2 linked regions of the Neodiprion lecontei genome follow. The protein of the gene in region 1 interacts with the protein of each later gene in a pairwise test. Links are inferred from orthologs where the notes say so. Each region holds a gene or a part of one and is shown on either strand. Other genes may lie near its edges.

Region 1 (4,669 bases):
TTTAAACGTGCGTACTCGATGGCGTATAAACTGTAAGACGAAAATCGCATAATTATTCAAACCCAAGTTCGGAGAGTAGATTTGAAGCATCATTGATAGAAATTTGAAATGGTTCCACGCGGTTACGTCTGTTAGTCTGGCATCAAATCGATGCATATCTTCATTGAAATTTAATTTCATCCATCGATTGTTATTTATTAATTATTGATCGTTACGGCGAATCTATAAATCGTCGATTAAGTAAATAATTTGCGGATAAATAAGTTATGGCCAACGGTTAAAGTTACATATAAATATAATACCTGAGTAATTTGTTCAAATGAAATGAAGAATAACCCGCAATAGAGAATAATATATTATAAACCTCGTCTGCTCTGTAATTCAACTACAATACATACAACACACATTGTGTAGACTTTATACCCGCGTACCAATCAATTCACAATATTGAATTGATTTTCATACGCCGCTACGAAAGCTTACGTATACATACATATTATAGGTATTACATATTATATAAACTACAAAGCGATACAACCCCGGCCCGGTTAAATTGAACCAATTTGGTTGGATTATATGTCACGTATACACGTATACTCGTATAATCGATGAACGAGATGATACAAAACTTTATATTACCATTTCAAAGAGACACTTTACTTCTATCAAGGTTAAAAACTTTTTCAATTATTATTCTTATTATTATTTGCTTTAAAAGGTACGTATCGGTATATACCTGCCTGTACATAAATTTCGTATTTTAGCCGAGTATAAGATGAATATAAACCGCTATTTTCCTGCTGCTTAAAATTCTCAAGTATTAAACGCGCAAATTAGAGGCGGCGCGGGTTTTTCGGTGGTATTATTATACATATTTACAAAGCGAAGAAACTCCCGCTAGAATGAAAGAAAAGACAATTTCGGTAGCCCGAGCTGCAACAGGATCTAGGACCCTATCTCCGCGTCCTTTCTACCCGTTTCAAATCTTCCTGTCCCATCCGCATCCCTCGGATGCATGTGAACACACCTGCGATACGGTCGGTCGAAACAAGGTGCGCGACCGTTTGGAAAACGATTGATAATATTGCATTTGGGACGATTGTAAAATTATGGTAGAAAAAATTTGCCGAGTAAAAATTATAGAAGTGCTTGCTCGGTTTTATTCTCCAACGACGTGCAAAATAGCCAATTCCCAAAGCGACGCGCTGCTATTCTTGCAGAATATTTTTGCTAGCTGTTCGTTGTCGATGCTGCAGAGCCTCGTATAATTTCAATAACTGAACGTATGAAACTTCGGGTGACTGAATCGTTAGTCGCGTTACGATACGCGATGAAACTCTGCAGGAAAAATCACTATTCTCCGACTTTGGAATAACTTTGAAGAAGTTGACTGTGGAAAAATATATTATTATGTAAGCTGGATTATGGCTGGAGCTGTGGATCGACGAGTTGTTATTAAAATTACCCATTGTTTCATTGTAATAAGGTAACGAACGTTAACAACCTCTGGAAATTTCGGGGGAATAGAAACCGACGAATTGTAATTTGTAAGCGATAAAATTTGAAAAAGTACAAGTTTATCGTACAAAGTTATTGCGGACGACGTGAAACTGCTGTTGATGATTCAACTACTCGTAAATAAGCCGGCGCAGGTTGTTTCGAAAACGTGACTAGGTAGTTAGCGTGGAAATGCTGCCCGCTTTTTTCACCGACAAGTTTGCATAACGAACACGAATCCTGGCAATATTAAAGGCTCGATCGTACGCCGTATTATCAGGATCGATATGGAAGCGATTCGTCGTTGTGCATATGTGTGTAAAATACACAGATTGTAACGAGCAGCCGCGGCTGACGTTGAATCGCACGAAAATTGACGTTACAAGTTATAACTCGAAGTTATTTCGGCGGGTGTGCGTGTCGGGTTTTCGGATTGATTATACATGCCTGTAAATATGTACGGTCCATGTATAATACCCGCGACTCGAGTCACTGCAGGGCCCGATTGTACGAATAATTGATTTTACGTCAGTTTGATGAAAAGGACGTTCAGGTGTCGGGACGTTGATGTATTATAGAGGAGCCGCCGTGCGAGCTTTGCGAAATCACTCCGCACGTACGGCGAGAGTAGATTGTCTTTTTTTTCACAACGCCTGCACACAGGCGCCGCTCGTAGAAACGTGTGCAAACGATCGAGTGCACAGTCGATTGTTTATACGCAAAGCGAAAGAATTGCGGGGGTGAATAAAACCCCGATCAATATTTAGCACAACGACGAAGGCGAAGTTTAACCGCACAATATTTCCTATCTAACGACAACACACGCGAGTAAATCGCGGTCGCATTTAACGCAACGATCAACGAGGAACCCGCGAATCGCGGACTCAGGAGGAGAATGCGAGAAACGGGGAAATTTATCTCTACGAGAGAAATATTATTGTCAGCTTGTATCGACGGAAAAGTGGCGAGAACGAAACCTGCCACAGAACGGATCGAATTAGCGATTTTTTTTAAAAGTATTTATTGTAACGTAGTGCAAGCGGCGACAAATGAAGCAGTCGCGAGATCAATATAATATGTGTATAATAAGGTGTATATAGAGGATGTATAACATGGATCGAAGATGCATTTTAATTCGTTGACGATGAAGAAGTTGACAGAGCTATCGTATACTACGGAATTGTAAGACAGTGACGTGCGTACAGTGCAGGAGTATAATGTAGGCATAACGAATAAACTCACCTCGGTTCGAAAGGCGAGAAACACCCCGATAAAAACAGGCATCAATAGCCCTGTCATCTCGAAATTGTTCCGCAGCGGCACAGTTTTATCACGAGTTCGGTTGACTTCTATTATCCGTTTACTCTCCTGCCCTTTTTTCCCAACTTATATTCTCTCTCCTGTCCTTACTACCCGCACGAAAACCGTCTTTTGACGCGACTGCTCCGGGAGCCAGTAATTCGTGTGCAGCAGGGTTCAATCGCCCGTTTACCGCAGCACTGGGTGGGTCGCGAAGCGTCGCCGTCGTCGCCGACAGTGTAGAATCAAGATGGCGGACTCGGTACCGCGGGGCGAGGGGCCTGAAGTTGCCGGCGAGTCGATACGGCGCGGGAAAACTGGTCTTTCAAATTTTTGCCTTGCGAACCGCGATTCGCATCCGGCTGGAGAACGGCTTGCGTGAACCGTAGACGACGCTGCTGTAATTCGAGGTGACGAGGTTAAAGTTGGTAACGTGATCGTAACGAAGAATTGGGAAAATAATCACTCATTTTTAATTTCACAATGATTTTTAAGGGACTAGGACGTCAAAATATGAGTGTGTTTTGTTTTATTACGGTTTGCCGGATTTCAGGCAGTTACCAAAATCGTGAAATGACGGTTTTTTTCTTCAGGATGAATCGTTGCGGTAACGTTACCAACTTCAATATGACTCGATCCGTTTACCAATGTTTATTGTATGCATATACAAATAACCAGCAACGGTTTGACGACTTAGCAACGTTCCAGCGGACGATGTTTTGTCTGATATTAATGGTTGTGTTTTGTTTTCCAACTTTCGGAAAGGAAATTGGAAAAAGCTGCTCGTTGACGGATTTTTTAATACTTACCGATCACATGAGTCTTTTACTTATTTATTTTCTTTTTTTTTCTTCAAAATTTGGCTAACAAAACACATCCAATTTGGTTCAGTTCTGCATCATTTTTTTCTTTTTTGCGCCGTTCGGTAGCGACGCAAAACGCAAAGGCAAATTATCAATCGGCTGATTGCCATTTCTATACCCCGCTGCTGATGTGATGGATTATACCCTTCAGCGTTCGAGGGACACTGGGAATTATTATACCATTATGCGGAGCATACCGCGGTACACAATCAAGTTTCTTGCGTAATGGCCACGCTCCAACGAATTGAAAGCAATTATAGTAAACCTCTCGGGATGATTTCAGATCGTTTAGCTTATACAAGTTATCTACGCACAAATACATGTATGTATTATGTATTTTCGCAATAATGCTGTGGAATATCCGAATGTCCCATACTAATATAATTATATCAATAACAAGGATACGCAAATTATACTTATATTGACTCGGAGAATTTTGAACAGTTAAAGAAAAAACAAAACTATCGATAAACGATGAAATGTAATTCAACCCGATCAAGTGCGATGTGTAAACTATTGGCTTGCAAATCATAAGTACAGTATGATCCGAAATAGTTATGCCGAATGATAAGCGACATAACTATGCAACCTTGAACGTGAATATTAAAAGAGATCTGCATGTGTATGCACATACATACATGTACGTACATGCAGATCATTAAAAAGATGTCCGAAGCATACGAATATGCGGCTAACGAGGTCACTGTAATTTTTGCGCGCAATTTTTTTCCCGCCATGACAAAGTTATACGAGCGTTTTTTAATTTTCATTGTTTCGATTTTCTTTTTTTTTTAGTGTTTTTTTTATTTCTTTTACTTTAATCTTGTGCAAAAAAAAGACCATCTTTCAGACCAACAGTATGAAAACGCACGAGTGGAGTAGCCTTGGCCTGAGCGTCGGCCGCCCAGCGAGTAGCCGCGTTACCATGGAAACTGTATCGATTTCAACCCTCAGCTATGCGGTATAAGAATCTACCCCGTATTGCCGTGACGGGAGGTCCTACACTTGGA
Region 2 (4,683 bases), about 10 Mb from region 1:
GTATATCGTGTCTGTAAGGATTGAATGAGTGATCGTAGATTTTTTTCAAATAATATGAAAATCAGCTTGTATCTGATGCCTTTCTCCTACCAACTGTTTCAAGGTCGTACTGTTCGATTGTAAATGAAAGAAAATCGATCAATTGTTATTATAATCCTGATTTTTTCACTTTCAACTGCGCTCAAAATAAATTTTTCAACTATAACGACGAAAAAAAAAAATGAATTTCAGTATAAATTTGAGAACGATTTGATGAGTAGATAATCGTAATTCTGTCGTCTCGGTTTTCTCGCCATACTTTACGCACCGCACAGGCCAATGCGCAAAACCGTTACGAGAACGAAGTTATTAACGTTAATGTACCGAAATGTTGAAACAAAAAACACTATTTTGCACCTTTAGAATACCTAAAGAAGTTTATTTTACAAAATCTGAGTTTGTTGATGCTGTACCAGCAGTTTATCAGATGTCAAGTAATCCTAAAGTTTCAAAACAACGACTTTTTCCAAAGACGCGTCGTTACAATAACGTTACAAACTTCAGCCTGATAAATCGTTAGCGTTTGAATACAACTTTTCTTTCTAAAATTAAAATGTTACCGAATTTAACGCGGGAGAAACAAGAATTAGAAACGCAATAAGACGATCGTCGACTTCCTCAACCGACTGTACGCACCTTCAAACAGAATTGAAAGTGAAACGGTCGGTCAACGGTATTTTACAACGGTCGCGCGCACGTAACCGCCGCTTACAGCGCGTCGGTGTCGAGTCTTTCGCATGGTGTGAAAATGGGAAGAAAACCGACAAGAAGGAATATGGCCGAAGTGGCGGAATGCGATTGGGAGAATTTCACCGAGCTTCGGAAATTTCCGTAGCCGTTTAGTCCATGGCGAATTATATAAACGGTCGCCGCCGGGACCGGACCAAAGAATAAACAACCGCAATACCAAGGACAGAGATCGGAGGGCCCGGTGTAACCGTCGCGACGCGACTTTCAAGGCGCCAGGACCCGAAGAGAGCAGCCAGAGAGAACAAAGAGAGCTTGAGCGCAGGTAAGCATTATACTCATCTTCGATGTAATGCTCTCAGGTAAATTTCACGGTAAATTTTTCTCTACCCTGCTCTTAGGATTCGTTTGAAGTCCAAAGGACTCGCACTCTTACAATTAGACCTTGCTGCAGGTAGATAATTCGGAGCCGAGAACAAACCGGATTCTCACCTGAGAACAAGTGAAAAGATTTTTCCCGTTTAAGGGGATGTCCTTGTCGATTTCGACGCCAACGTATATACGTAGCTCCAAGTATCGACGTCCAGGTATCTCTAACGAAAAAAGGGCTCAACAGTCCCATTCTATACACAATTTTGAACAAGAGAACTCCGATGCATTTTCATTTCAGGCTGAAATAAAGAAATTGCACGGATTCTACGAACCGTAACAGTAAGTTCGTAGAATTCATGCACCGAAAAATGGATTTCAGTGTTTTTGTATAGAATTGTGAATAGAATGAGACTATTGAGCCCTGTTTTTCGTTCGAGATACGTGGGCATCGATATTTGGGAACATATGCAGTCGAAATCGACCAGGGCACCCTTTTAATAACCTCGCTTTTGTTTGACGATTTCACATTTTCCAAAGCTCGAAATTACACAATTTATGGATTCGCCCCTCGTGACTTGAAATATTCATAATTATTCAACTGTACTATAACGTACCGGTGTTTGTGCCGTATTATCGAGCCTACTATAAAATCTGATAAGGTAGTCAATGAAAAATAGTAAAGGCAAACGTTCGAGTGTTGCCGATGAAGAAAAAAACTCAACCGTACGATCACTGAAAGCAGTGCTAAAAAGCTATGTTCTCTACTGCTTAAAATAAATGCATCAACGAAAAATCGTGAAGCGATTGAGTCTCCGGGTGTTGGTAAACTTGAAGCTGAGTGGGCGAGCTATAAAGCCTGCCAAATTGCGTTTGGATAAATAGTCTAGGAATGTTATGGGTAGATGGTATGTATTTTTTGTCGGTTCGTGAGAAGTTTATCTGCTATGAAAGCGCGAATGTCGCCGTCGCAACTTGTCTGATCCCGCGGCTAGAACATATAATCAAAGTAAGATTCGACTGACCCGCGAGGTAACCATCAGGCGTTTGCAGACAGACCGCAACGTCTGGGATTATAAATAGTTGCGATATACAAAGTCTGACGGTCTGACTTTGGCGGAACTCGATCACGGGTAAACGACACATTGGCTAGAAGGTGTGTGTAAACAAAGGAATGACCCAGAAAATTGAAAAACCCGAATTAAGCCGAAGTTTGTAACGAGCTTGTTGTGATGATGCATCTTTAGAGAAAATGGTTATTTTACAACTTTAGGATTACCGGAAATTTAGTAAACTGTTACCAAATACAGCATCACAAACTCAGATTTCGCAAATTCAACTTCTTCAGTTGTCTTAACGTTACAAACTTCAGCCTCGTAAATCCAACGCCGATGGAACCGTTAAAAAAAAAAAAAAAACTCCATCAACAACAATTGCACCGCGGTGCAACGCAACCGTCCGACGGTTTTCGAAACTCGCGCCCGTGGTTCACTTCGGACACCTGCTTGAGAACGGTTGCGACACGCACTGAGATACGATCGCGATTAGCGTCAGCGTTGATACGAATTTTACCAAAAACAACAAAAAGTCACACTCACATGTAAGTTGCAGCAACAGCAAAAGAGCAGCCACCTGTCTCCCGTGAGCCGCCATTGTCCGGAGTTTAAAACCGGTCAGCGAGCGGTCGCCGTTCTCTTCCTCTCGGTCCTTCGTCCGGAGATTCAAATTTATTTATAACAACCGCCGTCGTAACGTTTTCGATGCGTATTTCGGGAGCGTCTCTTATCGCTAGTGAAAATCGGCCCCGAATAATCGGTTATTCACTCTGACACACGCGGTCAAGGCTCGGACGTCTCTCCGACTGCGTCTATCTTTCTCCCGAGCTCTCTAATCACGCCCGCAAATCGACTTCAACGCGTCGTCGCTGTACGGTGGACGATTTCATACTGTGGCGGGGAGTGCCGCGCTCGTTTGATCCGACCCGTTCGGGCGAATTCGGCCGCGCTCGGCAAGCCTCGGCAAGCGGCGTCGCAGGTACAGCCGAAGACCGAAGACAAACGGCCAACTTCTCGGTGTTCTCGCGCGGCCTCGCTACGCATTTCTAGCGACTCGCGAACCTCGGGCCGTCACGTCGGCCGCGCCCATCGCATCCAGCGCTTTAATTGTTACAGCACCGTACGCGTTGACCTGCAGCCTTGTTACATTCGTTACCGTAGATCCTGAAACCTGAGGTGCCTTCATTCTTCGCTACGACTCTTCGCCCTGAACACCTGCCTAATTGGTTTATCCTTGAAATTAGCCGCATCAGGATAAGGTGGGAAGGTTCGGTTCGTCCGACGCCAGCCCTCAAGAAAATATTTCGTTGGTTGGTTTCGGCACCATGAACTTAAGTATTGTTCAAATTTTAGGAAATGTTCGGGCAGTTCGGTCTTCAGCTAATAAATCACACTCGGAATGCATTTTCTTGCAGTCAAATTTCTAAGAAAGACTACAAAAGAAAGTTTTTACATTTTTGTGTGGGTATTGACTGTAAAATTTCGAAAGTTGAAACAAAAAAGGACAAAAATTATTGCTAACAATAAGAAAATTTATCAATAATAATATGTGATATTGAATCGAATTACAGGAAAACGATTGAACACTCAGTTTTGTCAATTTCTAGTAATGCATTAAAACTCTTTCCAGTCATAGATTTCTCTATACAATTATTCTCATTGTCAGAAAAAAGTATATCAAGCATTGATATACTTATACTTTACAAAAACTTGCAACGCGTTTCGATTAATATTAGGAAATAATAATAGGTAATATACAAAAAATGCAAAGAAATCTCGAAAGTGCACATAATTTTATACTTCAGAGTTTTTCATTTAAAACAAAGGGATAAAAACCTTTATGAGAAATGGTGATAAAGGTGATGCCATTCTTTCTGGCTTTTTGTAAGTACTAAACTCAAGTACTAATTCTTCGTTTACAAGTAACACGGAAATCTTCTATCACGAATATTTCTCAGAACAATAATCTACCTGCCAGAAGGAAACTGTAAGAAATGTATATGAGCAGGTATAAATTAATCACCATTTTTAAGCCATCATGAGACATTTCTTAACCCAGGCTGATTCACGTGTAAGCTATTCTACACTAATGTTTGCCACATGATATTCGAATAACTGGTTGAATTTGACGATTTTCATTCTTTTCCAACTCTCTGTTTCCTTGTTTTCATGTACAGCATGTAATTATTATAAAAACGAATTATCAACATTGCGGTAAGTATCGTGCTTGCAATATGAGTAAACTAGCATACGTCGCAAGACAGGTTTTGAAACGTTGTTTTATCGTTTTTATCGTTTTTATCGTAGACAGTTTTCAACTTTTTTTGTGCTTTTAACACGAAAACATGAAATCAAACACACACCGCACCGCACAAAGGCAGAAACGGAAGCTCATTCAAAAGTCGAGGAGAGACAGAAAATTGAAATGGAATTGTGCGAAGGTTTGAAACGACGCAGGGATGTTCATGTGAAATTAACTGATTGTCGTGTGAACGAAGCTGATGTATACGCAACGAAATCAAACGTCGAGGAT

The links.
Region 2: the proteins of amyloid-beta-like protein (region 1) and fasciclin-2 interact in binary tests that used the Drosophila melanogaster proteins (3 or more experiments, as listed by UniProt). The link is inferred for Neodiprion lecontei from reciprocal best matches to the Drosophila melanogaster genes Appl and Fas2.

The regions. Positions count from the first base shown.
Region 1 is NC_060265.1:27,176,750-27,181,418, forward strand, and holds the start of amyloid-beta-like protein, read right to left. Parts: upstream 3,023-4,669; 5' UTR 2,797-3,022; coding exon 2,740-2,796; intron 1-2,739. UniProt on the Drosophila melanogaster protein: During development, plays a role in the regulation of the neddylation pathway. Appl and APP-BP1 interact antagonistically during development.
Region 2 is NC_060265.1:16,849,073-16,853,755, reverse strand, and holds the start of fasciclin-2, read right to left. Parts: upstream 3,047-4,683; 5' UTR 2,749-3,046; coding exon 2,694-2,748; intron 1,052-2,693; exon of another isoform or gene 493-1,051; intron 1-492.